Coturnix japonica: one gene and its partners. The protein of the gene in region 5 purifies or fractionates together with the protein of the main gene of each other region. This does not show direct contact. Links are inferred from orthologs where the notes say so. Each region holds a gene or a part of one and is shown on either strand. Other genes may lie near its edges. The genes, in order: EPB41L3, AXIN2, PPP1CB, PRUNE1, GSK3B and PRKAR1A.

Region 1 (4,678 bases), on a different chromosome or scaffold from region 5:
AAATAACAGCTGTTAGGGTGATTATGCATCTTTATTTCTCTCTGCATTACGACTTCTCTTCTGGAAGGACAGATGAGAAACTGGGGCTTTGAAACCTATAGTTTTATCAGCATTCTCTAAAGGCCCTACATCAGGACACACCAGTCACCTTCAGGTACAATACACTTTTGCACATACTCTCCGTGCTAGTATTGAGTTCCCAAACAACAGTTCATACTAAGGAATACACCAAAACATGGATGAAGAGAGATGGGATTTTCAAGGCCATGCTAATTAGACATTGGCTTCTGTAGGATTTCTTACCTGTGAAGACTCATATGTAATGGTTTTTGTTTCTGTATGGACTACTGGCACTTCCTTTGTTGAAATTTCAAGGTTTTCCCCCCCAGTAGAAACACTACTGAAACTGATTGTTTCAGTCTTCACAACTGGTGACTGTGTGAACAAAAACAAACAAACAAAAAAAAAGGGATTGGAAAATTTAGTAAAGTTTCTGGATTTTTAATAAAAAAGTGCTCTGCATTTTAAGAAACAAAAGAGAAAAAAAAATCTCTTTGTTGTAATGGTATGTATATAGCACTAGCAGTTCGACACTACTCTGGATTACATGAGAACGAGCTTCAGGAAACATGTAAACATTACACATGTTCTCAGAATGACAAGAGAACAAATCCTATTCAGGCTTGCTTTTCCATTCAGCTTTCAGAAAAAAAAAAAAAAAGAAAAAAAGAGCAAAACAAGGTATCTCTACCCTTCTGCAAAATGTTTCTTGAAATCTTTCTAATGGGGCTAAAACAAGAAGCACAGATTGCTTCAGACAGACTACAATAATGTATGACTGTATCAAGAATGGAAAAAAAAAAAAAAATTTCTTTCTTTGAGGACATGCAAACTTTGCCAATCCTGATGGATTTTCCCAAAGAGAATGCCAGCTGAGTCCTTGTTGCCCACTGCATAAAAAGCCAGCAAATGAGGCATTTCTCTGCAGCATGAAAAGCGCTTTTAGGTAAAATATGCATGGCATTTAGCCAAGGATGGAAACCAGCAACAAGCTTTGCAGGTGCCATGCAAGGAGGAAATAAGAGGAGAAACAAACTGCCTGCTGTAAAAATGCAATCATAGAAGTCTTGTACTCTTTACTTTCCATGAGAGGAATTGACTTAGTCCACTACCACATACATTTACAACTCAGCACAAGAACTGATTTAACGAGTTACCTCAAAATGAGGTTTTCTTTCCAAAGAGTCTGAAACGTGGACTGTTGTACTGTGCTCCTCCGCTTGCTCATGAGAAGTAGCAGCAGCAATGCCTTCCTGTTTGGTTACAGCTTTGTGAGCCTCCCTTTTTTCCTCTTTAGCCCCCTTAGTCACAGCAGTGCCCTCCTTCCCTTTTGCGCTAGCAGATGCTGCCTGAGCCTGGGCATCTGCAAGTCCAGCCACTGTAGCGGGATCCCCACTCGCATGCACATTCATCCCACGTCTCTCCTCGATAACCACAGTCTCCTGTACAACCTTCGTCACTGCGTCCTGGTGTGGCTGAGCTGCTTGCTTCAGTTCACTGGAAGTTATCTCCTGAGATGTTGTCGTGTCTATTCTCTGTTGGGAAAGAAGAAAAAAAAAATCCTCATGTTGAAAGCAGACAATGCTACACAGAGCAGCTCCTCAGCTTAACGTACTGTGAACATAAATAAAAACGGGGTATTACATTTTGCCAATTTATTTCTCTCGCGCTAATGGATTTTCACTCTAAGGACATAATCAGAAAAGTAGAAATGAAAAATAAAACAAGATTATGATTTTAGAAGTGAAGAAAAATGCCAGTGTTTTTATCCTTGGTAGTTTTGTGCGAGTCTTATAAAGGCAAAATACAGCACCCTGTAAAATGACCAAAATAAACTGAAATGAGATTAAAAACAAAAACAAAAACAAAAACCCACAACACTTGTTGTTGTCGTTGTTTTCCCTTTTGGTGAAGTTTCTGTTGTGGTCTGTTGTAACAAAGAACAAGGCACAGCAATGCAATGCGTTAGGCATACAGGCTCTGAATTATGCATAAAAACAGGAAACAAAAGCAAATCAAAAGTCATTATTGTGCAGTTATAACACCGAGGGATGGAATGAAACAGCCACCTGCGCCCAGCTATGGGAAGTAGTAGTAACCCCTCCTATGAACTCAGTCGGCTTCCTGGCGGACTCTATTAAACTGAAGATATCTGAGCCATCCAGGGTTTTTTCACCGGTGGACTGTTTAGTCTAAACAGACAAAGAAATGGAGAGTCATACACAGATGAAAGGCCAACCCACATGCACAGAGAAATTAACTGACAAAACAGGAGGCAGAGACAGAGGAAAGGAAGAGAAGGTTGCAGGGCACAGAGAGGCTGGGAATGGGATAAGGATGGGAAAATAAATTAGAGCAAATTCATACTGGCTGTATTAAGCAATAGTTACAAAGCATAGTTGTTAGCACCGGCGTTTTGCTCGTTCAGGCAAACCTTTTTACCCTTTGGTTAACAAGCAACAGCGGCAACACCACACGTCAGTAACATGGATCTTTAAATGAACCAGAAAAGTTGAAAGCCTTATATAATGCCTGCTTTACACTGTAGTATGGCTTCAAATTATGAGAAAAAAATAAGCTGGGTTGGCTGCTGTCAACATAAAGCCAGGCAGCAGGAGAACTGAAAGGCAGGGTAGTGTGAGGGCATTGCCTAAAAGAAGTCATGCTTTAATCTTTAAACTGTGGCATGAAGTCAAAGCCTCTTGTTACCACTACTTTTGATGCAGACGACTCAGTAACAACATAGTGAGCAGTAGCAATGGTAAATGGTTGTTCTCTGGAGTATCTCCACTCAGACACACTTTTATCTTTCCAGGTAAATGCCCCTGCTTTTGCAGCTTCACCATCAAGGTGTTTTTCTGCTTTGCCAAGCTGCAAGCTTCCCAGTAACTGCAAATCTTGGTCCATCCTTAGTGTCTTTTTCAAGCTCTCCTCTTCGGGACTTTGCAACTGAGATTCCGCTTCCTTTATAGGTGTCAGGGAGTCAGACAGCTTTCTTTTTGTGCTCTGCACATCGGCCTTCTCCTCAGCGACAGGCTCTACGATCCCATACTTGGCCAATACTGGAATGATTTTCAAAGATTCTTGTGCTTCCTTCTCCTTTTTTTGCAAAGCTTCTACAGAAGGCTGTACTGTTTTCTCTCCCTCTTTTGTTTTACTTGTCATGGTAACAATTTTCCCAGACACAGCATCATAGGACTTTCCTAAGGTGAATGTTTTCTGCTTATTCTCATCTTTGGATTGTATTTCACTTTCCAAGTCCTCAAAGCTCAGAACTGTGCTGGATTTTAGTACCTCGGGCGGAATGCCAGCTTTACTGCTCACAGTCACCACTTTGTATGTCACATTTTTTTTCGATTCACCATCAGCTACCTCAGAAGGTACTTTGTCTATAATAACCCAATCCTCAGTGCCCTATATTTGAGATATAAAAGCTAAATTAGAATATCTGAAGGTTTATCTGTGTTTCAGGAGTACTAAAGTATGAAGTCTTTTAAGAAATCAATCCTGTCTCTCTGGAAAGTATATAATAATTTTACCACTGAACTTCTTAGAGTAGTTATCAAACAAATAAACAGCATCACCTCAGGCAGAGTTAGATTTCTTCTAGGTTTCTTCCCATTAGAGGCCCATATAATGTGGACAAATAAATAAATAAATAAATAAATAAATAAATTGCATTTGCCACACTTTTCTGCAGTAATTTGAAGCAGAGTAAAATTATCATCAGAATCATCCTGAGGTTAAAAATCATATATCACCATGGTTCATAATGTTACAGTTGAAAACAAGTTACAGAAATAGGGCAAATAAGCCCAACTGTATCCCAGTTGTAACAGCCACACTTCTGATGAGATTTTAGAACAGTATGCATTTGTATGTAGCTGCAGTCTGCACTGCAGTCTGCTTTTGTTAGAAAACATCAACCCCCTTCAGCACTATTTAAATTTAATAGTACAAGACAGTAAATGCCATCCTACTAAAGATATTGAACTGAAGGCAGTGTCTTTTATTCTTCTTATACAAGTATGCAACATGATTTGCTTTGACTATGCAACTGGCATCCACTTATTTGACCATGAGACTGTAACTTCTGCATTTAACTAAGCAAATGTGGTTATTTAAAATTGAATGAATTAGAAATAACCTCTAGGGATGATGGGATACTTTTCTGGATAATGATTTGATGAGAAGTAACCAAAGTGTCAGCAGATTCTCCTTCCTGCAGCTTCTTCTCTATCACACTCGGCTAATAGAAAAACCAATAAGAACACAAAGTTCACCATCACTCAGAATAATCTGAATTCACTTGACAGTATATAGGAAATTCATTCTAATGACACAAGTTCCCCATTCATCACAAAGTTCTCAGTGTAACTTTATGCTGGAAATGCATGCACAACTGCAAACAACATCCACAAACAGCACCGTGCAAGTAGAGCTGTAACTAGCAAAGAAATCAACCTGTATTAGGTAGCCATAAGCACTGAAGAGGCCACATTCCTCTGAATTTGGCCCCCAAAACATTTGCCTCTATAATTATGAAGTAAGTATGCTAAAAAATAAAAGGTTTGGAAGGGAAAAAAAAGATAATAAAATAAATAACTGTCAGCCTATC
Region 2 (4,678 bases), on a different chromosome or scaffold from region 5:
CCTAGCCCTGTGAATCCCAAGTGACCCTACACTGGTCCAGAAATGACTAACCCAATGAATGCTCTGTTGACACATGATCACATACAACCAGAGCCAGTAAGAAGAAATAAAGAAGTCACCCTATGATTCAGCTCTTTTATTTAATGCCAATATTGTTCAATAAGGGAATCTGGTGGGACAACAAACTATTTTTTTTCCCGTAATATCAGTTCAAAACACACTTGTGCACTAAGAAAACAACAACAACAACGACGAAAAAAAGCTAAATAAAAAGCTTTTGTTTACACATCAAGGATTTTTGGTAAATCCTGTTTTCCATTGCGCATCATCACGCAGCGCTGTCGATTAAAAATACAACCAGCATGCAAAGCTCTTTAAGGAGCACACGGGATTCAATGCCACATCCCATAGGCACAGGGGGAAGGTTCAGTCCTGGGATGCAGACCTGGAACACAGCACTGTTATCTGACAGGCTGCGTTTCGGGAGGACTTGTACTAAAGTGAAGATCAAGGAACACAAACAGAAACGTCTGCCTTCTCCCCAGTTGAAGAAAGGGGTCCCTAAGAACACTATGCGAGTCCTACTGACTTCCCCACCTCCAGACACAAAAACACCATTCCTCCTCTGCTGGGGAAGGAAAACTGTGGGAGAACACTGAAACTGCACACCAAGGAGGAGAAAAACAGATCCTGCCACAAAACCATCCCTTCCCTCTGCTCCCAACACACTCAGACCTGATCCAAGCAGCTCCGTTCAAAAGGTTCTTTGAAGGCTGCCCCAGCCACACCAGCTGAGCAGCTATTTGCCCCTTCAGGTCACTGGCCCTATTAATGTACATACTGACATTACCGATGAACCTTAATTACAGAAAGTGCTTCCTACAGGAAGTAATCTCCTCCTCTTTGATGACTGATAACTAGTTAAGGAAGCCTGGCCTTAAGACAAAAGGCACAGGGAGATTGCTCCTTGGGTTAGTCAGGCAGTACTATAAGCATAGGGGAAAACACGTTAGCTCAGCTACAGAGGGGTTCATCACCTCCTTCCATCCGATACCTACGGCAACGGCACAAAGAACGAGGCCACCAGGCCTGGCTGCCCTCTGGGTGTGGCTGGACCCACAATTACCTACAGTGCATCAGTACAGCCCATTTAGAGATGGTGCACCCCAAAAAAGACCAGGCCAGCATAAGATACTTACACGCTGCTGTCTGTCATTGACATGGAGTCATCCGTCAGGGCATCACTGGATATTTCACTATCGTTTGCGCTGGTTGCTGGGGCAAAGACATAGCCAGAACTCACATGGTAGGGGTTAACAGGATCATTCCTCTTGAAGGACCTAGAGACAGGCAAATAAGAACCCAGTTATCAGCCAGGCTTGGGCTGGAGGACAGCACGTGAGCTTAACACCAGCACTCTCCATATGGCACCCCTTGAGAAGCACCAAGCACCCATTGCTCACAACAGCTCCCTGCCAGGAGCAAGGGAACAACCAGCATATGCTATTCAAAAGCACCCACAGCCCAGTGTTAAAGATGTGGCTATTGGCACAGGATACACAGCTCAGAAAACCCCAGGAGATGTCCCAGGGCATTTTGATACCTTTGGAACCTTGGTCCTAAGAGCCTGGTGCTGTGCTGCCAAAGCCAGCAGGAGCTCTGCCATCAACAAGCACTAGATCAAGAAGTTCATAGCTTGAGCCCTACTGAGGACAAGCTCATAAATGCTTAAACCTACTCTGAACACAGGAGGTAAGGCTCCTTTGGGAGAAGTTATGCTATCTGTGTATTGGAAACAAGAGAACTGCTAAACAGGACCCCCACGCATCACGGCTGCAACCTGCTACCCTAGGGCCCCCCCCAAAGAGAGGTGCCATCTTCCTGGCACCACAAAGGCCCATTTTTAGGGTGAACCTCCTCACCAAACAGCACGGGATTTCTTGTGCTTAGGGCTGGATGAGGTAGGAGGGAGGCATGAGGTCGGTATGAGGGCAGAAGCAGCTGCAGGTTGCACATGGAAAGCAACAGCTTCAACCAAAGAAGGAAACCCTGAGCTTGGCCAGGATGGCTGAGCCCATCACCACCAACCCATCCGTGGGCAATGCCGGGAGCTACGATGGGGTCACTGAGCAGGAAACCTCCAACTCAGCTGGGATCAATCCCCTATCTTGGCAGGCGATAAGGGGATTATGCAGGGAGGTTTGAAAGCTGCGTGTTAAGGTGCACATTTTGTTCCCCTGAGATGGAAGATGGGGTTGTTAAGCTTCTGCGTTTGTATATCAAAGCAAAGGGCCTTGTCATCTGATAAGGACTGCTGATTTTAATAATTAGGGCCACTTACCCAGGACTTGGGGGCCTAAGGAATGTGCCAGCAGGCTCGGCAGGTTTTTTAATGGGCTTTCAAGCTCCCCACCCCCACGGCAGGGCTCTGGGGGAAGTGGTGGGATGCAACAGAGCGGCCCTAATAGGGGGCAGCAGCTGCCCCACTGCTGTGCACCCCTCCCTTGCAGCATGGGGGGAAACGGGGGCTTTTACAGAGCTTGGGTTAAAAACAAAGCAGGAAAAAAAGAAGTTAAAATAAAAAAGGAAATGAAAAAAAGAAGAAAGAAGAGGGAAAAAAAAAGGAGGGGGAGAAGCTGGGCCTCTCTGGTATGAGGTGCAGGGCTGGGGCTGCTGCAGGTACTCAGCCCAGCCAGGGCTGCATTCCTTTCCAAGGGAGGCCAAGGCACCACTGATGGGGAGATCAAGATGTTAGAAAACATATAGCTGCAAAAAAAAAAAAAATGAGATAGCGAGGAATGCCACAGGAAAGAAGTTAAATCTTCAAAGATAAATTAATTCCACATGTGGGTGAAAGCAAAGTTATCCCACTACTACTACAAAGGAGTTTGCTAAACGCATGCAGCCTCCTGCTCTGATTCAGAGGGATGTGAAGTCCCTGTGACACTGCGTGGGTCCTTGGTGGGCTTCCAGGGGATTGAGCAAGGGATGCAGCTCTTTCCTAACAGTGATTTGAAACCATCGCAGGTCTTGAGAGCGCACACAAGGACCACAGGGCTCAGCAGGGCGGGCTGCTCCAGGGTCCTGGATTGGGATGGGATGCTCCTTAAGTAACATGGAATGGGATGCACTAGGGTCCAGCACAGCCCTCCCCAGCTGCCCCAGGAGGGCCACATTCCTGTGCTCTCCCTGCTGGGGGGCGGAGGCAGCAGTTGTGTATGAACACAGCGCAGGGTGAGGAGGTGTGTCCAAACAGCATTCGGAAAGATATAATTAGAGAAAGTGGCCAGAACTCACTCCTCTTCCCCCCATCAGTGTCAGCCTGCAGCGCTGCTTCCCCTACCAAAACCTCACTGATGAAAAGCCCCCAAGGAGCTTCAAGGAGAACATCTGATGTTTCTCAGGCTATTCATATCTGGATGCAATGACACACAGTGTGCAGCTCTCCCTGTGCCACGTTAGGCCACGGGTGTATCAGAGTTCAGGGCCATCATGATTGCAGGAGCTCCCGGTTGCATCCCCTACTATCAGAGGGCTATTTCAATGTGGGGTTTTTTTTATTGCCAAACTCTGCTTCTTCAAAATAAGAAGTGTTCCGGCACTTCAAACCACAGATGTATATACAGAGAGCAAAGAAAATCTGCCAGGAGCATTTTGAAGGCAGAACTGAGGCTCATTAAGTGCTTTCTTGGGACAAACATCATGGGGCGCTCACAAGTTTCAAGGCAAAAAGAGAAGCGGCACAAACACGGGGGTGGAAAAAAAATACGCTTTTTTAGAAGGAAATAGAAAAATATTAAGAAAACTATGTTAATCACGGCCTCCATGCTCTAATTGTAAAGCACCGCTCCGAGCGCAGCTTTACAATGGCATCATTTACTTTGATAATTGAAGCCAAACTCAGTTCCAATAACTCCGCACACAACAGCTCCACCGGCGCGGCGTTCAAAGGGCAGGAAGCCTCGGAGCCAGCACTGCCAATGAGTGCAGGGCTAATGGGAGGCAGATGAACCCACCCTGCACCCAACAACACTTCAGTGGCACTGCCAAGGCAGGAGAGCAGCTCCATATAAGAAGGGTGTATAAATAATGGCTGGGATTACTGGATGGTGGGGCCAGGTCCAGCACGCTCAGCAGGACTGATGCTGGGGATGAAGGCTCAGCCACACACTGCATGCCATGGCCATGACTCTGTGCCTTGGGATTGATTTCCAGCTGCCTCCTGTCCCTAAATCCTGGATCAGGTGCACTCAGCCCCACACTTCATTCTGCTCTTATAGTCCCATTGAAGCAAGTGGGAAGAGCCCGCACAGCACTTCCAAACCGTAGCATGCTGGATACAGGGCAGGGATTCTTTGATTCCATTGCACGTATGAGGAGGGAGGTGTGGTTTGGCCACTCACCAGGAAAGACTTTGTGGGAGCTTCAGCTCCAATCCTGAGCGCCTTCCTAAATGCTGAGTGATGAGAGATAACCCATCCACATGTTCTTAAAACACACACACACACGTGGCTCTGCAAATGGGCAGCTCAGGGAGGGACCAAGCAGCATCACAGTTTGACCTCCATCCCTTTGCACTGAGATCTCTTGGCCCCATAGTGAGCAAAAGCTCCTGGAAATTCAACAGGAGGTGATCAAAGCACAGCACAACATCCTAGGAAGGCAAATCTGACACATG
Region 3 (4,678 bases), on a different chromosome or scaffold from region 5:
ACAAGCAGCAGTGTTGAACTGATCAGATGCATTCTGGGGGAAGTACACAATGATAGGCAGGGCAGAGCGTTCTGATCTTAACTCTTTGGACTTCAGTACTATGTGTCTTAGGATGGGTTGTTTCCCCTTATATCCTTTCTCCCCCACGTAGATGGCAGTGATCTACTCTGCAAAGTATGTTGGCTGAGAGCTGAGCTGCAATAAAAAGATGTATTCATTTTGCTCTTCTGTTAGCAAGTTTTATAAGACTTACTGAAACTGCAGCAAATATTTTTTGAGTCAAGTCTTACTGTGTTAAAGTTTGAAAACATGATTTGGTCTGCTAAAGGTTCATACCACTTTTTTTATAGCTGCTACTGTGGTTTAAAGCTGAGTGTTGCTCCATGCGAAGCAGGGGGGCAGAACATGATGGTAGCCTGGTATAGACACTGCTGTGTTCTGCTCTATTAGTTGCATCTGATTGTTAGTTTATACTGACATGTAGAACTGAATCACATCAGCCAGAATGTAGACATTTGTTCTGCCGCATGTACACATTAGAGCCTGAGAGAGGAATCAGGTAGGTATTCATGGAAAGAAGCAGCAGCAGATAGGCTTGGCAGAGGATGTTAGTCAGAGTGCGGTGGGGATGTTTTTGGAAACTTCAGGACTAAGTATGGATTGGAATACTTGGCTTGTGGATATAGGAATTCAATGTCAAGCTAATTGAATGTCTGTTTGGTTGCTGAGGTTCCCATAACTCGAGATCCATTATGTATGAATGAAGATTTTAATCAGCACAGACACAGTTTAATGTGATGTTCCTGATAGGACAGTTTCAGCTGCAAAAAGTACAAACGTTCCTTTTTATTATGCTTGCCTTGTTGAACTTAGTTGGCCTAGATCATTTTGCGTCAATGTATTTGAGATTTCCATTCTCAAGGCTTTTTTTGCCTGCTGCAAATACTCTAGCATAATCTGATAATTCATTTAAACACTTTTTGAAGTTGCTATTATCCAAATACAGACAAAAGCAAGATCTAAATTGCTGCTTTCTGGGACTGTGACTTAACCGGGATGCATTCGGAGCTTAAGCGCAGGTTGCCAGTATATCAGAGTTTAACTTTAGAACTGGCTGGAATATGCAGTTCCCACATTTAGTAGATAAGTTGGTGTGTCAGATACAGACTTCAAACACAGCTCATCTGCACTTAACTGTTGTTAGGTGTCTGTGTGCCAGCTATCTTAATTGTTAAACTTCTCATTACAGTACGAGGATGTCGTCCTGGGAAGATTGTTCAGATGACAGAAGCAGAAGTTCGGGGCTTGTGCATAAAATCACGAGAAATATTTCTTAGCCAGCCTATTCTCCTGGAACTAGAGGCACCGCTGAAAATTTGTGGTATGTAAACTTAATGTGTGTGTCTGTTATGTAGGTGTGTTGATTTAGTTGTATGCTAACTGGAATGAGAAGGAAAGTTGATGAAGGAGATGCTGAGATACACAGATGACCTTGATTTGAGCAATACAGATTAGTGATTGAGGTCTTCTCAACCTTAAACATCATTTTCAACTTAGATTGGAGTCAATCTAAGTTAGTCAAGAGAAAGGAACTAATGTTTGCTCTTGGTGCTATTTAGGAGCAAGTGCTGATGGCAGTAAGAGCTGCATGCACTTCTCTTCTAGTGCAAATTTTGCAGCCTGTCTGTTGTCCTAAGGGCTTCCTCCACAGAGCTGCTACTGTTTGGATCATTATCTCAAAGCATTCTAAAAACACCTAAGTAGTAAATGGTTGCTGTTGTTGTTCCTTTCATAGCAGAAACTGAAGAAAGATCTTCATATAAGATGAGATGGAGTACTTACTAGTCCACTTACTAGTGGAGCAATTGTAGTCATTGCCATTCACTTAGAATATTAGCAGTTATTAGTGTTATGTTTGTTCTTAAATGGCAAAGTCACTTTTAAGTGAGTAATGGCTTGCTTGAGTATGGAGGAGTGGAGGAACAGGACCAGCTTGCCTGACAGCATAAATTTGAAGGTAAAAATCTAGCTTTACTTCATTTTATTTTTTCTGTGATGAGAAAAAGAATAGTGTCATCTAATTCCTAGACAGAATAAAATTGAAAGACTTGCATACACTCTTAAGTTCAATCTGCAAAGTATAATGAGACTCCTTCAAACAAAGTTAGTTTCTCACTTGTTTAAATCTAAAGAGCTCAGAAGGCTCTTAGATATACAGTAGTCGAGATAGCAAATGCACAGTTATGTAAGAGATTTGTTATTTTTAAGTTACATGTTTAACAAAGCGGTAGCACCTGGAAGTGACATGTAGATCTAAATTAAACATTAGAGAAATTGTCAAAGTTGTATTTGTTTAGAAGTGGAAGAGAGGTGATGGCTTTCACTGAGAGCACAATATGCTGCTGTACTGCTTTGAACTACTGGTTTAATGTGTTCAGGTGGTGCTTGAGAAATTGTTATAGAACTGTCTTGTAATCAGTTCAAAATAAGCTTTTAAGTCTTGAATGGCTGTTCTAACATAAGATGGAAGATTTTCTTATGTAAACGTCCATTTTAAAATAGCTGTAGTTCTTTCTCTGATAGGCTTCAACTTGTGCCTGTATGAAGTTGTATTTTAAATTATCAGGTGCCTGCAAAGGAATAATTTGAAATGCTTTGGTCACTTCACAATAGTTTCTACAGAATGGTCTTTCATTCTTCTATGTCCATTAATCCCTTTAGCTTGTGTGTGTAACTTAAAGTAGTTTCAGACAATGAACATTAAATATTTCCATGGTATATTTATTTTGGTGATGAGTACTTCTGATGGTGATGAAGTTTGAGTACTAATTCAATAGTTCTGGAGTACTGGATTCAACACCATGGTGACATGTTGATGAAACTTGCATGTTTTTCTGTCTTAACCTGGAGATTTCTAAATACCAAGTGGAGTAGAAACTCTTCTTGTAGTGTACGCACAAATGATTTTAGCTGGTAGAACTTCAGAGGGCCTGCAGTTGGGTAGTGAATAATGTTCATTATTAAATGGAAAGTGGTGTGCAAGTCCCCTCCTTGAGCAAGAAATAGTTGAAAGCATTGTCTGCTGAAAGAAAATAGTGTTGATTTTTCTCATGGAAAGATAAAGAGGAATAAGGCATGAAGTCACTGCTGGAGTATGTGACTCCACACAAGATGTGCAAGTCTTTTTGTTTGGTTTAAGGTTCTGAAACAAGTTGTAGGCATGTGGGTGGGGACATTTTGTTTGTCAGTTTTGCTCTTTATAGCCAAGGAAGCTAGTTCTCTACTGGAGAATTACTAGGCTTAATAAAGACAGGTATTTTGCCACAGAACAAACAGCACAGTTGAAAATGTATTCATGACATGCTTAGTGTAAGGGATCAAGAAGTAGTCTGTATTATCAGCATACAGCTTTTACTAAGGGTTTCTTAGGCATAGTTTTGCATTTAGTCACTTTGTTAATGAATTCTGCAGTCAACTGAAGTATATCACAGCTACTGTACAAGTTACGGTAGAGCTTTGGTATCACTTTTGACCTTATGGGCAGCTCAAGGGTAATTACTTCAGCCTAGTCTGATGTGATGTGCTGTGGTGGTTTAGTTGCTGCACAGAGCTATTGTGTGGATGTGGATGGAAGCCATCTTAGTTTTAAAACTGGCAGTGTGATGAGTAACATGATCATTACTGCTCCTAAGACTTCTGCAGTTTTGAGTAGCATGTCAGGGCTATCAGTCTTTCAGTCTCTGTACTGTTTACAATAAATGCATCCAGGGAGTTGTCCTAAATGCCAGAGAATGGGAAGCTTAGTACAGTGATTTAAGCTCTTGATATGTTTACTCCTTACATTGTTGCACTCATCCGTGGTAATCCTTTTTTTATTCAGGTGATATTCATGGTCAGTATACAGATTTGCTTCGACTATTTGAATACGGAGGATTCCCACCAGAAGCAAATTATCTTTTCCTTGGAGATTATGTAGACAGAGGCAAACAGTCTCTGGAAACCATTTGCCTACTTCTGGCATATAAAATAAAGTACCCAGAAAACTTCTTTCTCTTAAGAGGAAATCATGAGTGTGCTAGCATCAACCGGATCTATGGATTCTATGATGAATGTAAGTTAAACCTATTTCTTCTGAAAGGCTGATGTGTATTAATACTGTGTTTTGGAAGTACTTCTGGTAAATGACTCACGATTCATGTGCTATAAGAATTTCAGTGTTCTGTGAACCTGCTTTGAAACCTTCTCAAAGAGCCTATCAAAAGAAGGTTAAACTTAGAATTATTTTCTATTCTGTTGTTTCTGAAATGGTATTGTAGGAGTCTCTGAGTGTACTCAGGTTTCAGAAATAAAGCTGTGTGAAGACAGTCAGTTTACATCCCCAATCAAGTTGTAATACATGTTGTAGGTTGGCTTTAAGAAAATAGTCATCTTTTCCTAATCTCTCACACTGCTCTTGTAGGTAAGCGGAGGTTTAACATTAAGCTCTGGAAGACCTTCACAGACTGCTTTAACTGTTTGCCAATTGCAGCCATTGTGGATGAGAAGATCTTCTGCTGTCATGGAGGTAAATGGATGACTACTTTTAAAGGATGTGTCTAAGCTGTTCTTTGGATTATTGTTGTATTGAATTGCGAGGATGTGCATGTTCAGCTCACAATGTATATTGTCTGCAAAGGTT
Region 4 (5,314 bases), on a different chromosome or scaffold from region 5:
ACCCCCCCCTCAGTGCCTTCATTAACTGTGTGCTGCCTCACTCCTTGCAGACCCCACAGCACCAACCCCAGTGGGAAGGGGGGGGGGAGGGGTGCTTTGGGAGCACTGGCAGTGAGGAGGGGGCTGCAGCAGCCAGCCAGGCTCAGACAGAGGAAGCTGCAGCTCCATGCTGGGGATGTGACCCCCACAGCACCCTGAGCACCACCAGGGACCCCTCACTTAGAGTCAGGGGGGTGCTGCTCTGTGGCCATGCGGCTGACCCGCTCCAGCACAGCCTGGGGGCAGACAGGGGGCACGGCTTGTGCCAGCGGGCTCTCTTCCACCAGGCTGTTCATGGGGGTGGGCGGAGGGGCCGCCTCCTCCTCCTGCCCTGCTGCAGTGCCCGGCCCTCCCCCCAGAGCAGCCCTGAGGATGGGCAGCACTTTCTTCCTGGAGGCCAGCGAGTTACCCTGTGCATAGGCACTAATGCAAGGCCAGGGGCTGGGCAGGGCCTGCAGCTGCAACGCTGGGGCTGTGGCCTCCTCCAGTGCACAGCACACCTGGAGGGGGCAAAGGGTGGTGTCTGCAGTGCAGCTCTGACACCCCCAGCCCTGAAGTGGGGGGACAGAGCACCCTGCTCTGTACACCCTTGTGTTGGCTCACCATGTTCCGCAGGGCCCCGTTCTGGCTGTACACCGCCAGCTGCCGCGTGGGCTCATAGCACTCATTAAAGGAAACCGTCATGGCCACCAGCACGGAGTAACCACGAGCCTGGCAGAACGTTTCCAGGTCCTGCAGCAAACCGGGACGGCGCAGGAAGAGCTGGAGGAGGAGGAGGAGGAGGACAGGCCTTGGAGTCACACATCACACTGTGCTGGGCCTCAGCCTCCCCTTGCTGAGCCTCACCTCTATGTCCATGTAGATGCCGCTGATGGCAAGGACTTGTTCATCCCCAGAGACTGTTTTGAGGTCCTTCCGCAGCATCTGCTCCGTTGTCAGCCCTGGGAAGGCAGAGGGGCTGAATGTGAGCACTGCCCCGCGTCCCAGCACCCTGCACAGCGCTGCTGAGCCCCCAAAGCCAGACCTGAGACATCAAACTTGGCTGCCTGCAGTGCTTTGTAGATGCTGTCGTGGGGCGGCAGCTCCGGGAAGCGCGACTCAAGCAGGGAGACGCAGAGCACATCGCGAGGGGTCACCTTGCCAGCAGCAGGGCTCAGGTTAATGCTGTCCAGCAGGATGGTGCCTGCAGGGACCGGGGCTGTCGGCACATGGGAGCAGAGCCCCACACCAGGGCAGCAAAGCCTAAGAGGCAGCCTCACCATGCAGCAGTGCAGCCGTGGTCCGGTCCAGCACGCCCGGGGGCCCCTGTGCAATCCGTTCCGTCACCAATGTGGCACAGGAACCCACCAGCTCCACCGTGAGCTGGCAGCTGGGCGCCCACTCCCGCTCCAGTGGCCGGTGATCCAGCACATCCACCACGGCTTCCTCCAGGGCTGCGTCGGTGCTGGCGGGTGAGATGAGGACAGTGAGAGCCCTGGCACAGCCCTGCCATGCACCACCGTCAGCACAGCCCCCTCTGCTCATCTGCCTTAAAAACACCCCAAGAAGGGCAAAGCTTTTATCCATCCTGGGCTGAAATCCGACCTCTTCGCTCACAACAGGGAGAAGGAAAGCAGTGCATCGCAGCCACATCCCATCATGGCGCTCACCTAGGCAGGACGTGGTGATCCACCAGAGTCAGGGAGAGCAGCCCAGCCCCGTGCAGCCCAAGCAGGTCGATCTCATCGCGGAAGATGAGCGAGGAGTCGGGGATGTTGTGCTCCCGCAGCAGGAACGTTGTCTCCGTGCGCAGGGCAAAGTCAGAGCGTGGGATGTTCAGCACTGGGATGAAGGCGGCTTTGGGTGGCACAGAGGTCTGTGGGGGGGGGGATCAGCACCCAGTGAGGCATCCCCTGAGCCCCCCATCACCCAGCAGCATACAGGCAGCCTCACCTTTGCTAGGAAATAAGCCAAGGCCAGGGCAGACACGGTGGAGTCCAGGTCACAGGCCTCGTTGCCCATCACCACATGCACCTCCTGATGCTGCTGGATGTGTTCCTGCCAAAGAGAGAGACGTCAGCCCCATTGGGACACATCTACCCCCTAAAAGCCCCCCTGAAGGACACAGCTCTGTGCAAACGGAGCCATTTGTGGCCTCAGCACCCCCACAAGCAGCTCCCAGCGATGGTCTCATCAAATGAGGAACACAAACAGGGCTGTTCTGTGTCTCAAAAGCCTCACGTTAACAGCACATGTGTGAGAAAGCCAAGCAGGTCACACAGCATTGCAGCAGGGGGAATTGGGACCCCCCCCCACGCAGGGATGTGGCACCCACGGGAGATGGAGGACCTGCTGTGGATCCTTATGAGCTGAACCTCAGACCAGAGTGATTTTTCTGGCTGTGATGAAAGGCAGACGGGACTTTCAATACCGACACTGTCATTGTGGGGCCAAAATGCCCCTTTCAGCCCAGGCAGCAGCAGGGACACCACTGTCCCCCCACAGATCCCAGCTCCCTCCCTTTGGCACTCGATGCTCTGCAGGCTTTTCTCCAGTGACAGACACTTCACAGCATAACCCAGATTCTCTTATTTATTCCACTGAAAAAGTAAACAGCCGTGGGCCAAGCCCAGAGCCTGCGCCATTCAGGTACTGCAGGTCCCCCCAACCAATAGTCCCAAAGGAGAGGACATGGGGGGGGTCCCAGCCACCTGTGGGGTGCGGGAACGCCACAGTGTGGGTGCAGGGCACAGTGTCACCTCCAGCCATGGGGTGGGTGGGTGGGGGGGCACACGGGCTCTCCTGGAGAGGTAATGGGGGCTCATACTCCTCCAACCCCCCCGGTCCATGTGCTGCTCGTCTCCCTACACCCCCTTTCCTCCCCACACATCGCTGTGGGACGTTCCCATCCCGTCCCTCTTTCCCCACTCGCGGTATCGCCGCGGTGTTCCCGTGCCCCCCAACCCCTCACTTATCCCCTTCTACCCGCTGTCCTGTATCCCCCCCCTCCACGTCTCCCAACCCCGCAGCCGCCGGCTCCGCTCCCGGCCGTACCTGCAGGGCCGCCCTCCGCCCCTCCAAGAACCGCTCCATGACGGCGGCGACCACCGCCCGGCCCAGACCGAGACCGCCACCCCGCGCCACGGCCCGGTCCGGCCCTGAAGGCGGAGCGTGGGCTCCGCGCAGGCTGCCGGGAGAGGCGGGGCGGCCCCGGGGCGGGGGGACACCCGGAGCTCCTCAGGCCCGGTCCGGGGTCGCTTAGGCCCAGGCCCGAGGCGTAGGCCGCTCGCGTAGGCCCGGCCCGCAGGCGTAGGCCGGGCCCGTAGGCCGCAGGCGCTACTCGTAGGCCGCAGGCCGCTCCCTGCCGGCCTTCCCCCGCCCTAAGGTGAAGCGGCGGCTGGGGGAAGTCGGCTCGTGGCCGGGCTCCGCCATGCGGTTGTTTATTTGTCTCTTTCTCCTCCCCCCGCCCTTCCTTCTCCGCCCTAAGTCCGCCCTCCCGGCGTAGGCCTGGCGGCATGCGGGCCGCGCCTCCGCGCTGAGGGGAAGGAGGGGGTAAAAAGGGGGAAAAAGGCCGAATAACGGCGGTGGCGGCAGCGAGGTGAGGGGAAAGGAGGACCGGGGGGACCGGGGGGGTGGTTGTAAAGCGGGCAGTGTCTGTTTGCTGGGTGGGGGCCGGGCAGGTGCCGGGGGGTTACATGACGAATGTAATATATCGGTGGAGCGATTAATAACAGCGGGATAATTAGAGCCGATGGGATGGTTCATGTTGGAGGGGAGCTGCGGGGGGGTCGTTCGGTCCTGACTTCTTCAGCACTAAACTCCGAACTCAGTGAATGTGGAGGTATCACCCCCCCACCTCCAAACCCCCCCCCGCCCATAAAGGGAACGTTTTGCTGTTCGGGGCCCTGTGCTAAAGATCTGGATGCAGATTGTGCTGGTTGCACTGCTGGATTTTGGGGGAAAGGTGAGTGCTGTGCTTCCAACCTGCAGCCATCTCCTGTGGGAGGCGTCGTGAGGCTCCTCGCCTCCTGTTGTCCACGCTTGGAGATCCCGACCTCCATGCAGGCTGTGCCTGTGGTGGGCAGGAAGAGCTCATGGCATGGAGCAGAGCTGCTGGATGTGCCCCTTCCCCACTCTGGGGCAGCAGCTGGTAAATGTCGGGTGCTGCTCCGTGCAGGAAATCCTAAAGGATTTAGAAATCCTGAAGGATTTCCTGCTTGAAAGCTGGCCCAACCAGTGGGTCCGGTCTGGAGCTTCCTGCTGGCACCTGTTTGCAGCAGCCTTCCCCCTGCAGAGCTGCTTTGGAAGCAATGGAACCACGGCTGGGTGAGGCGGCGTGCAGCACTGCAGGCGTTCAGACCTGTTTGTCCTGCTGCTGCCATGGGATGCTGCCCTCAGCTTCCTGCAGTGCATTCCCAGCCAGGTCTGCATTGTGGGGTCACTGGCGGGGGGTGTCCGGGTATTGCATTTCCCAGCAGGGGTATATTCCTCTGCAGCACACATTTACTTTCCTCACCTCCCCGCTGTGCACTGCAGGATGCTCTGATGGTGTTTGTGTGCACAAAGGTGTGGGGCAGCAGCACAGGGATGACTTCATGGCCTCCATCCAGCAGAGCACTTCAGCACATGCTTCTCTTTGAGCACTGCACTCCTCTGAGACCACTCTGCTGCTGTTTGGGGTGTGTTTAAGTGCTTCCCTGGATCCAGGCCTGAATTCCTCTTTGGGATGAGCACATTAACAGGGCTGGTTGTCTGCTTCCTACCTCTGAAACACCATAGCAGAACGCTGGGCTGCAGTTCCCATCCCAGCAGTGGGAAGTGCAGCTCTGGGCTTTAAACCTGCGCAGCTCGTGAGCTAGTTTTAATGAGCTCTGGCGCAGCTCTCGCGGCTGTTGTTAACTCTTGTCATGCAGTTCTCTTGGCTTTATTAACCTGTGGCAGCTCTGAGCTTCAACCTGTGCAGCTCTGAGGCTTCAAACCTGTGCAGCTCTGAGCTTCAAACCTGTGCAGCTCTGAGCTTTAAACCTGTGCAGCTCTGAGCTTTAAACCTGTGCAGCTCTGAGCTTTAAACCTGTGCAGCTCTGAGCTTTAAACCTGTGCAGCTCTGAGCTTTAACCTGTCAGCTCTGAGCTTTAAACCTGTGCAGCTCTGAGCTCTCAGCTTGCTTTTGGGCACTGTGAAGCTGCACTCCTTGGGCTCAGGTCCCCCTCCCTTGTAGGGGGGCAAAGGGGATGGTCTTGTTATAAAGCTGCCAGGTCTCGATGTGTTTATTGCCATAACACCCAAAGAAGGGCAG
Region 5 (5,340 bases):
CTGCAAGCTTCTGATTTACATATTCATCACCTGATTTTGAAGCTGATTTCTTGCACTATTAGACGTTAAGATAACAGCTAAGCTCTCACAACCACCATCTTTGCCATACCACGCACTTCCTACGGGCTCAACCTAAGAACACACGTTTCTTTGTGCGAAGAAAACCTACAAAGCCAGCAACGAAGACCTGAACAGAGAATAAACTACCTGGGAATGACTTCAGCACAGAAATTCATATGGTGCGGTGGAAAGAAACACAAAATGATCTCAAAAACACCAAAATAACAAAAAAATTGGCAGATCTCATAGGAACTCTTGATGTTGGTACATCATGGAAGTGATACAGGAAGGCCACAGGGTTCCTACTCTTGTAGCAACTGTAAAATTCTCATAACTAACAACTATGACAGAGGCCTGGGAAGTCACCTTCCTCCGAAGCCAGAGGACAAGACCCTGATGGGAATCCCCTTCCATTCAAGGCTCAAGCTTCTCAACAACTTCCGAGCACAAAGTCTAAAAAGATGGAAAAGTCAATGGCCACTCCCCCCTTTCACAGAATCACAGAATGAGCCGGGTTGGAAGGGACCTCAAGGATCATGTAGTTCCAACCCCCCTGCCTGGCAGGGCCACCAAACATACACCTTTACTAGATCAGGTTGCCCAGGGCCCCGTCCAACCTGGCCTTGAACACCTCCAAGGACGGGGCATCCACAACCTCACTGGGCAGCCTGTTCCAGGGCCTAAGCCTGCCATATCCTGAGCAGAAGAGCAATCACCACACTCCAGCTCTCTAACACAAGGTCCAACACACCCTCCTCCATTCCTTCCTCAATGCTTCCACCTCGTCCTTTGAATCCTTTCAAAGGAATGGAACTACTGCCGGGATCAGCTAGAAGGTGGTCACCAAAGCAAGCGTGACCTCACCACCTCATTTCACCACCACCCCAGCCTTACAAAGGCGAGCAAAAAGGCTGGCATAGAGGATAGGCTTTGCTTCCTGGTGACCTGGAGAAGGTCTGAATCAAGATGGGGATACAACAGCTGCCTACAGGACTCAAAGAGCAGCAATCCATCCATTTCCATCTGCTTCACAATCTCAAGAGAACCAGTAAAATATCACCCTTTCTGGCAATCAGTGGCGCTGCTCTCTTACAAAGGAAAATAAGAAGTCGAAACTTCCTGCACTGTCTTACACGGATAGATTAAGTGAAAAATACGCCTGCCTTTCCCACACAGTCCTTGCATGCGGTTCTCTTGCTTTGTTCTGACATTTTTTTCCAGACAGCAGAAGGACCAGGAGCACATGACTAGAGCGACTGGGGAGGAGGGGCTGGGGGGGGGGGTTATCACAAGTGCGTGTGCTTTATGCTACGGCCTTTGTTTCTCCCTCCGTGTTCCACACTTGGGATCAAATCGTATTTGCAAACTTGTTAGTCTGCATCACTTAGCACCCGCTTCGAAGGCGAGCATCTGTCTGGTTTCTGACCTCAAACAAACAGGAAAGGAGCATCAATGACCTTTCAAGAATCGAGCCGTACAGCTCGAATAAGGCAAATTTAGCTTTGGAGCGTGGCAGGGCTAAGTGTGGCTATAGCGTTAAACAGCCACCTGCAGAAATACCCAGCGACAAAACCTGCTTCCTATTCCACGCTCACGTGAAATAAATCGATACATTAAAATGGAGTCTTAAATATTCCCCCTTCCCCCCTCCCCCCCCGTGTGAATTAAGATCTTTAATACATTTGAACCAGATCAAACACAACCCGTTTTAGCAGCATATAAGAGTATAAAGGGCACTCGGAGTGCAGCAGGCACCCTGATCATGCAGATACAAAGCAGCAGCTCCAGAACCTCAGCCCAATATTCTCCTCAAGGCTTCAACCGCAGCGGAAGTACATTTTGATGCAGAAAAACGTCAGAATTTCTCTCATCTGTCAAAAAACCCCCAGCCGGGCAGAGCCCCGGCTTGAAAAGCCTCCAACACCAAGAACCAAACCCGCACACAGCAGTGCCAGGTGTGACCACACGGGATATCAAACGGATCAATCAAACCTTAACGCCCATCAAGCGCTCCAGGTCCCATAAAGACCCAGCCCTCCATTTCCATAGGGGAAAAAAAAAAGGGGGGAATATTACTGAAAACAAAGCCCGTAGCATGAATCGGCAATGATCTGACTGTTAATAGGCACGTATTCAAAGAAACCTTCAGGAATTATTTGCCATTCAAGAGATATAGTTCATTGTAGGTGACCCGCAGCTGGGCCTTTCTCTGGTCGTACCGAGAAGCAATGCCCATTCTCCATTCATATAGTGTGGCCGAGCCCACCAGCTGCAATGCAAAGGGTGGGCACCCATCAAGCACCGATCATTTCCAGCATGCCCGTGTGGAATAAAGCACAGGCCTCGTTCTTCAAAATATCCCCGTTGAGAAAACCTGGGCAAGGCAGCTCGAAACAACCACTCGCAAGCCACAATGAGGATTTTCTTCCTCCCTCCCGTTGGGGATCATTAGCAGCGTATGATACACCCTTTGTAACCCCCTCGGACGGCCTTTGTAATAGCCCCCCGTTTTCTTCCGCCTTTAATAGGCCGGGCCGTGGGCTTCCCACACCTGATACAGAGCTCCCCCCCCACCTCTTCCATCTCCCTCCTTCAGAGGGCACAAAACACCTCATTGGGACCAATGTCACGGCCGTACCCGCGTGCCCGTCATTCATCCCCTCCTCCCCGAGGCAGGAGGCAGAACAGGGGTGCTGGTAACCCCGAGGAGCCCCCCGCGGAGGCGAAACGGCACGGCCGGCAGGGGCCGAGGGCAGGGCCGGGAGCGGCCTTTTTGTGTCCCCCGCAGGCCCGGCCGAGCTCGCGGCCCACCCGAGACGAACGCGAGGCAGGGCAGGAGGGCGGCAGGGAACGGCCCGATACTCACGGCTGACTTTCATGCTGCCGAAGGCCGAGGGCTGCTGCACCGGCTTGCAGCTCTCCGCGAAGGAGGTGGTCCTGGGCCGCCCGGACATGGTCTCCGGCTCCGGCTGCGTCCCGTCGGGCTGTCCGCCTCCTCCGCTCTCCTCGGGGCTGCTCGCGGGGCTGTGTGCTGCGGGCTCAGCGGGAGGCGAAGGGCGAGCTGTGCCACATGAACCGCCGGCCCCTTCCCCCCCGGGGAAGCCCCCTCCCCTCTCGCTCTCCCCGCCGGCCTTTCCTCGCGTCTCCTTTCTTCTCCGGCCTCGCTCCTCCCGGCGCTCACAGCGCCATCCTCCCGCAGTGCCGGTGGGTCCGAGAGCCGCCTCCTCCCAGCCGCAGCCCCCCGGGCCGGCCGCGAGCAGCGGGGCTGTGCTCGGTGCTAGGCCTCGCTGCCCCCACCCTCAGCCCAGTCACATGGGGCGGAGGCTCGCGGCCCGGCTCCTCCGATCCTGCCGCTCGGCTTCTCTCTTCTCCTTTTCCCCTTTATGTCTTTTGCCTTTTTTCTTTTTTTTTCTCTCTCTCTTTTCTTTTTCTCCTCGCCTCCTTCCTCTCTCTGCCTCCTGCCCTCTCCTCTCCTTCCCCCTTCGCCACTGAGGGAGGGAGGCGGCGGGACTACTTTTCCCCCGGCGGAGGGATCTCGGAGCTGCTGGATCCGCCGACGGGAGGCGATGCGGCCCCGCGCAACGGGATCCGGCGGCGGCGGCGGGATCCGCGGCGGGCGGAGCGGTGTGAAGCGGCGCGGTGTGCCCGGCTGGCTCGCAGTGTGTGTGTGTGTGTGCTCTCAGTGCGGCGCTGAGGCGGCTCCGGCGCGGCTCCTCATTGCTCCCGCAGGGGCAGCTGGCGGCGGCTCACGCTGGGCAGGCTGCAGTGCGGGCGGTGGCCGGCGGCGGCGGTGCGGGCCATGGCGGCGGCGTTGGCTCCCAGCTCGTCCTCAGCCGGCTTCAGAGCGCCGGCGGCTCTCGCTGTTGCTTCCCCGGGCGTCCGAGGCGCATGAGGAGCCGTCCGCCCGGCTGAAGCTTCCCGCCGCTCCCTTCTGGCGCCGGCTGCCTCTCGCCGGGCCCCCCTCCCCGTTTCTGTTGGTCGCTCCCTTTGTCCCCGCTGCTGCCTCCGCTGCGTGCCGGGCTCCCGCTGCTGCGCTCTGTGTGTGCGCCAAAGCCGCGCAGCCGCCTATGCCCGTCGCCGCCCTACGCTGCGGAACGGCCCTAGGCGCCTTCTGTGAATAGCCACCCGAAGCGCCCGACGCACTCGTTAGCCCCCAGCCCGAGGCCCTGACGGAAATACCCGAGCGTCGTCGGGACCAATCCCGAGGCGGTTACGGAAATGCCTGTGACGGATCGGAACCAATCGCGAAGCCCTTACGGACGCACCCGAATCCCCCCGAAGCCAGGCGGAGGCCCAATCGGAAGGCGCCGCCACCGCCCTAGCAGCGCAGTCGGGCGGCCAATAGGAAGAAAGCCTCTCTTCCGGCTATTACCGAGCCAACCCGAAGGGAGCCGAAGCCAGACAGCCAATCGCAGGGCGCGCTGTCTCGATTACGCTCCGCCGATTGGTTCACGGCGATGAGGCGGCACGAAGACGGCAGCCAGCTGCGAGCTCTCGGCCAATCGCCATGCAGGGCCGGCAGCACGGCCCGCTCCCATTGGAGCATGGCAGCGGCGGGCGCCGCCCCTTTCACCTTCATGACCTCACCCGCTGCGCAGGGCGGGGATGCGGACAGAGTGCGCATGCGCGGGGCGTTATCGCCGCCGCCCTTGTGTGGGGGTTACAGGCTCTTCAGAGGGGCTGGGAATGGCGGGGGTGAAACACAGTGTATATCAGAGCCACTAAAATGGCCTCATAGCCGTGCCTTGGTGCCACCACACGAGGGTTTTGGTTGGAGCTGGCCAGCACGACCTCTGGAGGAGCCTGTCCTACCTCAGGACCTGTGGACTTCCACAGGGCAGGAGCTGGAGTGCTGTGACCCCACTAACATCGCTGTAGAGCTGAGCTTAAAATTGGGGCTTTTTTAGTCTTGAGCACCAATGCAAATTTCTTATTTACTGATGAAATTACTGATGGACACCAACCCTGTCCATCCACACTACAGGTATCCCAGTAGTTCTACTTCCCTTATAGGCACTCCTGCCCATATTTGTCCCTAATGGTTAAGAAATGAACTATATCAGTCCTAGTTTCTTCTCATCTAGAATGAAACCACACACGTGTACTTAACAGCAGGGTTATTATTTATTTGGAGAGACAAAAAGCTATCTATCTCCAATTTCTGTTAGTCTTTTCATAGATTATTTCCTTAGCTGGGGCTACTGTCAGAAAAACCATTAACACATAAAGAAGGGCATCTGCTAAGCTTTCATCCTCAATGTCAAAAATGCACTGAATTAA
Region 6 (4,678 bases), on a different chromosome or scaffold from region 5:
AAAGATTTATTCCTACCTTCTCTCATTATCATCAAGATGGGCAAACAGCACATTCTTCTCAATAGCTTTTGCCAATGCAGCCATAGTTTTATAATCTTTTGGAATAACCTAGGATTAAAAAAAAAAAAAAATCAGAAAAAGTAACTGACTCAATTTCTAAAGAGAATCTTCTGAACTATCCAGGACTAACAAATGACTCACACTGCTACAAAACTCAAGTATTTTCGGGTTCTTTTAAGCACTGTAGTTCTAAGACACAAATACAGTCAACTTCTACAGCCAGTTTATTCAGAAGGTAAATAAAACATTGAATTTATGCAACTGTAAAAACCACAATTCCATGTTAAGTCCGTAGTGTCTTTTCACAATTGCAAGTATATGTTCAACTAATTTCTCAATGAATAGCAGCAAATCTGCTCCACCTCTGGGTTAAACTTAATACTGCTGCATCCGTTAGAAGTACTCTGTGTGCATGAATTAAAAACACATATATAAATATGTGTTTATATACACACTACATCAACAGGAAAAGATCAAAACTGTAAAAATGGTTTGTCTGCATGGCAACCCAAAGAGCTATACATGCAGGTCTGAATTTCACTGTTATCACACTACCTAACAGGTTACAGGCTTAGTGTTACTTAATATACTGGATATTAAATAGCCTCAAGTAAACTCTGATTCTATGTACAACTCTTGGCAACATTAAAGGACAAAACTTAGAGCACCTTTCTAACATAAGATGCAGCATCCTCCTCTGTATAGACTTCTGCACTGATGGCCCCACGTCTTCTTCGACCCTTGACCACAGGGTTCATAGGAGGAGGAGGAGAGATTTCATCCTCCCGTGAGTCTGAACGTGAACCAGACTTCTGTTGATTTAACAACTGTTTTGTTTCCTCCTAAACAGGAAAGAAGAGATATTTGTGTCACATAATCCAGGAAAGGAAAAAGCAGTTACATATCATATTCCAATTTAGCCTGCCAGCACAAGGGGAGCTTCCTGTGTCCTATTACTCTCACATTAAGGCAAGCAGGAGATTACAGCTCGCATGATCAACTGCCTTACTGAAGTAGACAGAAAATACGCCTTTCCTAATATTCACGCCACAATGGTGTTGATTTTAACAAATTACACTAACAGTTAATTAATTTGAGAAGCACAATTTGACTCTACTTTCCACTAGCATATTCAATAAGCAATGAAAAAAAAAAAACCTGCAAAGGAGAAAGCCATTTTCCCAAGAGTGCATACAGCAGTTCCTCCCCTGAGCTGCAGGGTGTTAAGCCTTTTATTCCTTTGAAGGACAGAAAAACAACTCCTTTGAAATCCCTGTTACATGAGAAGCTTTAGAAACAAGGTGAAGCCACGGACCAACTCGATGCTTGGTAACCATGGGTTATTTTAGAAGAGACATGAACACTGCTTACAGAAAAGATGCTAAGGGCCAAACAGTACCTTCTCTCAAGCCACAGATCTGTCAGCTGTGTACAATGCTAGACATGTTCCTTATTTCCCACAGCTGCTTCCTGGGCTGTGTTGGATTAATACTGGGAAAAGCCAGCACAGTTAGAATAAAGTGAATCCTAACTATATCAAAGCACAGAGATTTGATCCTTTCACATAACAGAAAATTCACCTTACTTAACTAAGATCTGTATTTTAAAAAAAGCCAACCTCACAGTTGAGTCATTTGAGCTATTATGACTCAAATGCTTTTCTCCCTGCCATAAGGAAAGAGGGTTTGGGGACATGTTTTAACAGAACAAGGAGTCATCTGTCTCCTCTGAGGGCTCCAGGCACGTAAAAGCTGGGCTTGTCCCAGTGTCCTTGATAAAGCTGTCCCTCCTGTGGCTTGGCTGCCACAATCCACTCCGGAGGTACACAGAGGTTACGTGTAACTCCACCGCTTTGAGGAAAGGGACCTCAGCTAACCATTACAGTGAGTTTACATTTGATACTTCTCAGATAACCAAAGAGCACTGATCCGTCAAATCACCCTGCGCTTCCTGCTTTGTGTTCATTAACAAAATAGTGCCACATTTCCAACTGCTGGGGCAAGGAATATTTAAAGCCTTGGCACTTATTTAGAAAGCAAACATCAGCTGCTGTGACTTTTCTAGTATCACACAGGATACACAGACCCTGCAAATGCCACAGACGGAAGCACTTCAACAGCACTGAGGGAGGGAGCTGCACATCACAGTGTTGCTCTGGGATAAATCCACCAGCAGCTGCACTGGGAGAGAAAACAGAACTGGTGACTTCTGCCTGCACTGAGACTTAACACTGTTACATTAAAAACAAGCCTGTTATATGTGTATATTACATCACCAGATAGGCCTTGACCAAAAATCATAGCTGCCCCTTTCAGGTACCTTAGAATCCAACCAGAGTGAGGAAACGTATTTGTTCAAGTTTAGAAGCTCTTAAAATTAAAGCAAATATTGAAGAAAAGCACCTATAACCACAACACGGATTCTTATGAGGCATCCAGCCTGGCCTTGAATGCCTGTAGGGATTGGGCATCCACATGACACCAGAAATAGTCGATTTCTTCTGGTTAACTTGTATTTAATTTATATCAGCTTTCCACCACCCTTTTTCTCCCCAAAACAAGTCACTTGAAAGATATTTAAGTACACATTTACGGAGGCAGGCCAGATGATGAGAAATAGGCATAGTACTTAGACCATTATCCCCAGCTTTCTAACTTCTGTTTTGCACAAAGCCCAATACACGTGCAGAAGACCCACCTGGCAGGCTGCAATACCAATCTCTACATTAGGTTTTCACAGCTTCAACTACAGAACGCAGCCAAGCTCAGCACCGGGTAGCAATCAGCTGTCAGTGTGCACTTGTGTTATCAGCCCTGTTTGCACAGCAAAATCAACAGAAGCCGTAGTGCACCGCAAATTGATTGTATAAATGTTATTTTATCTGAGTATAGTGATAAAATTCAAGTGAAAGCTTGCATAGCTGAAAAGGACACGTGAATTCCTATTGTAACTACTTCAGAGGCAGTAATTTGAGTGTTTCTGAGCAATAATTCAACGGTAAGTTTAAACATCTCCAATGTATGTGAGTAACATGACAGTGAATCAGCTCTGTGTGCACTGTGGAAGAGATGACTTGTCAGGAGAGAAAATAGAACCCACACTTCATTTTTAAATGATGTTCCTTCAGAAGTCAGTCTCAACCAAAGCTTAAAAAAAATACTCCGCCTCAACCTCAGTTTCATTCAGTGTAACATTTTAAAAGTAGATGGGAAAGTTGCTCTGCTTTCATAAGGATAAAACAGATGTTACTCTTGGAAAACACATGGTTTCAAACATTTCTGCTGCACTGGAGCTAAGTACCAGGTTAGAGCTGGTTAATAGCAGCAGCGCAGCTCTGTTACTTGATAGCTCTGAAGGTTCAACACACTGCTCAAACTAAGACCAACCCATATGGCTGAACTATGAAATTACCTTGAAGAAAGACATGGCAATGTTTATATTCAATAATATAAGAAGGCTACAGTTCCACCAGCAGCTACAGCCACACGAGTTGGCACATATAGCCATGCTTCTGTTTTATGTCCCTTCGTGGCTTTGCTTACTCTTCGCTTATTCCAAGTTCTACCTCCTAACTTCAAAAGAACAGTTTTCTTTGATAGTTTTTAAAGCAACATTAGCACAAGCATTGATACACCAAACCTTACAATGTATCACTACTAGAAACCCAAGAATACAAGGTGGGAAAGCTGATACAGTAAAAGGTGGGGATGAAGGATTATTAGGAGCCTGAAAAAAGACAAAGATATAGTTTCCACGTAAGATGGGAAGCTAAAGCAGCACCTGCAAATGACTGCTGTACAAGGTCACAGCTACAGTAATTACTAACGACCTGTGCTGAGTGCAGTGGTTACAGCTAATCTTTCTTCTGCATTCACCCTTAAAAACTCATGTTTTCATAGCAGATTATTCTCTATCAGCTTAAGCTATAGTTATATTCAATTAACTGTTCAAATCAGCGTTAAATTGATTCAAATATGAGCACTGAAATGAAAACGCTTTTCATTCCAAAGATCACAAGGTTTTCAACAAGAACACTGAAGAGACCTTCAGGACAAATGAGAGGAACAAAAAGCAAAACAGTAACACTCAGTTCCCAACAGAATGAAGAAACAGGCTTGTTCTCTTAGAAATCAGGAAAATAAGTGCTTTCATTTGATTTCAGCTAGGCCGGGCTAACTACCACACTGGCCTGCTGCTGTTCTATACCTGAATCTTTGCAATCAATTTGCCTCAACAGAAGAAACCAAATGTGTATCACCAGCAGCTACCAGGGTCACACAGCACATTTACCAACTGACCACAGACAGGATCACGTGTCCTATCTATCAGTTTCTATGAGCAAACACTAGACTAGGATCACACGTGAATCCCAGGTGGGTAAGTGTCCTTGTCAGTTTACTTCTGTCACAACAAAGCAAGAGGTGCTTTCATACCACAAGCCACTAGCAAAAACTACAGAAAATACCATTCATCCTCCAAAAGCATCAGGCCCAGTTCCAAACAGCCAATACAAACATGGGCCAAACTGGAAGCTCAGCCATTAAATCAAGTTAAACAGTGCAAATTTTGGCTGTTCCACTCTCCTTCTCTCCCAGAAAGGAATTTTTACCTTCTCCAA

The links.
Region 1: the proteins of GSK3B (region 5) and EPB41L3 purify together in Homo sapiens (affinity purification with mass spectrometry; 4 studies listed by BioGRID and IntAct, with this or other methods). This does not show direct contact. The link is inferred for Coturnix japonica from reciprocal best matches to the Homo sapiens genes GSK3B and EPB41L3.
Region 2: the proteins of GSK3B (region 5) and AXIN2 purify together in Homo sapiens (affinity purification with mass spectrometry; 9 studies listed by BioGRID and IntAct, with this or other methods). This does not show direct contact. The link is inferred for Coturnix japonica from reciprocal best matches to the Homo sapiens genes GSK3B and AXIN2.
Region 3: the proteins of GSK3B (region 5) and PPP1CB purify together in Homo sapiens (affinity purification with mass spectrometry; 3 studies listed by BioGRID and IntAct, with this or other methods). This does not show direct contact. The link is inferred for Coturnix japonica from reciprocal best matches to the Homo sapiens genes GSK3B and PPP1CB.
Region 4: the proteins of GSK3B (region 5) and PRUNE1 purify together in Homo sapiens (affinity purification with mass spectrometry; 5 studies listed by BioGRID and IntAct, with this or other methods). This does not show direct contact. The link is inferred for Coturnix japonica from reciprocal best matches to the Homo sapiens genes GSK3B and PRUNE1.
Region 6: the proteins of GSK3B (region 5) and PRKAR1A purify together in Homo sapiens (affinity purification with mass spectrometry; 3 studies listed by BioGRID and IntAct, with this or other methods). This does not show direct contact. The link is inferred for Coturnix japonica from reciprocal best matches to the Homo sapiens genes GSK3B and PRKAR1A.

What each region holds. Positions count from the first base shown.
Region 1 is NC_029517.1:90,376,233-90,380,910, reverse strand, and holds part of EPB41L3 (band 4.1-like protein 3), read right to left. Parts: intron 4,310-4,678; coding exon 4,208-4,309; intron 3,475-4,207; coding exon 2,770-3,474; intron 2,253-2,769; coding exon 2,130-2,252; intron 1,596-2,129; coding exon 1,218-1,595; intron 436-1,217; coding exon 304-435; intron 1-303. UniProt on the Homo sapiens protein: Tumor suppressor that inhibits cell proliferation and promotes apoptosis. Modulates the activity of protein arginine N-methyltransferases, including PRMT3 and PRMT5.
Region 2 is NC_029533.1:6,607,711-6,612,388, forward strand, and holds part of AXIN2 (axin-2), read right to left. Parts: intron 1,341-4,678; coding exon 1,200-1,340; intron 1-1,199. UniProt on the Homo sapiens protein: Inhibitor of the Wnt signaling pathway. Down-regulates beta-catenin. Probably facilitate the phosphorylation of beta-catenin and APC by GSK3B.
Region 3 is NC_029518.1:24,311,748-24,316,425, reverse strand, and holds part of PPP1CB (serine/threonine-protein phosphatase PP1-beta catalytic subunit), read left to right. Parts: intron 1-1,249; coding exon 1,250-1,381; intron 1,382-3,880; coding exon 3,881-4,111; intron 4,112-4,459; coding exon 4,460-4,564; intron 4,565-4,678. UniProt on the Homo sapiens protein: Protein phosphatase that associates with over 200 regulatory proteins to form highly specific holoenzymes which dephosphorylate hundreds of biological targets.
Region 4 is NC_029540.1:2,201,760-2,207,073, reverse strand, and holds the start of PRUNE1 (exopolyphosphatase PRUNE1), read right to left. Parts: upstream 3,181-5,314; 5' UTR 3,112-3,180; coding exon 3,073-3,111; intron 2,077-3,072; coding exon 1,972-2,076; intron 1,895-1,971; coding exon 1,689-1,894; intron 1,484-1,688; coding exon 1,299-1,483; intron 1,223-1,298; coding exon 1,064-1,222; intron 981-1,063; coding exon 886-980; intron 802-885; coding exon 643-801; intron 540-642; coding exon 216-539; 3' UTR 1-215. UniProt on the Homo sapiens protein: Phosphodiesterase (PDE) that has higher activity toward cAMP than cGMP, as substrate. Plays a role in cell proliferation, migration and differentiation, and acts as a negative regulator of NME1. Plays a role in the regulation of neurogenesis.
Region 5 is NC_029516.1:71,650,020-71,655,359, reverse strand, and holds the start of GSK3B (glycogen synthase kinase-3 beta), read right to left. Parts: upstream 3,240-5,340; 5' UTR 3,015-3,239; coding exon 2,927-3,014; intron 1-2,926. UniProt on the Homo sapiens protein: Constitutively active protein kinase that acts as a negative regulator in the hormonal control of glucose homeostasis, Wnt signaling and regulation of transcription factors and microtubules, by phosphorylating and inactivating glycogen synthase (GYS1 or GYS2), EIF2B, CTNNB1/beta-catenin, APC, AXIN1, DPYSL2/CRMP2, JUN, NFATC1/NFATC, MAPT/TAU and MACF1.
Region 6 is NC_029533.1:6,398,251-6,402,928, forward strand, and holds part of PRKAR1A (cAMP-dependent protein kinase type I-alpha regulatory subunit), read right to left. Parts: coding exon 4,670-4,678; intron 903-4,669; coding exon 729-902; intron 109-728; coding exon 17-108; intron 1-16. UniProt on the Homo sapiens protein: Regulatory subunit of the cAMP-dependent protein kinases involved in cAMP signaling in cells.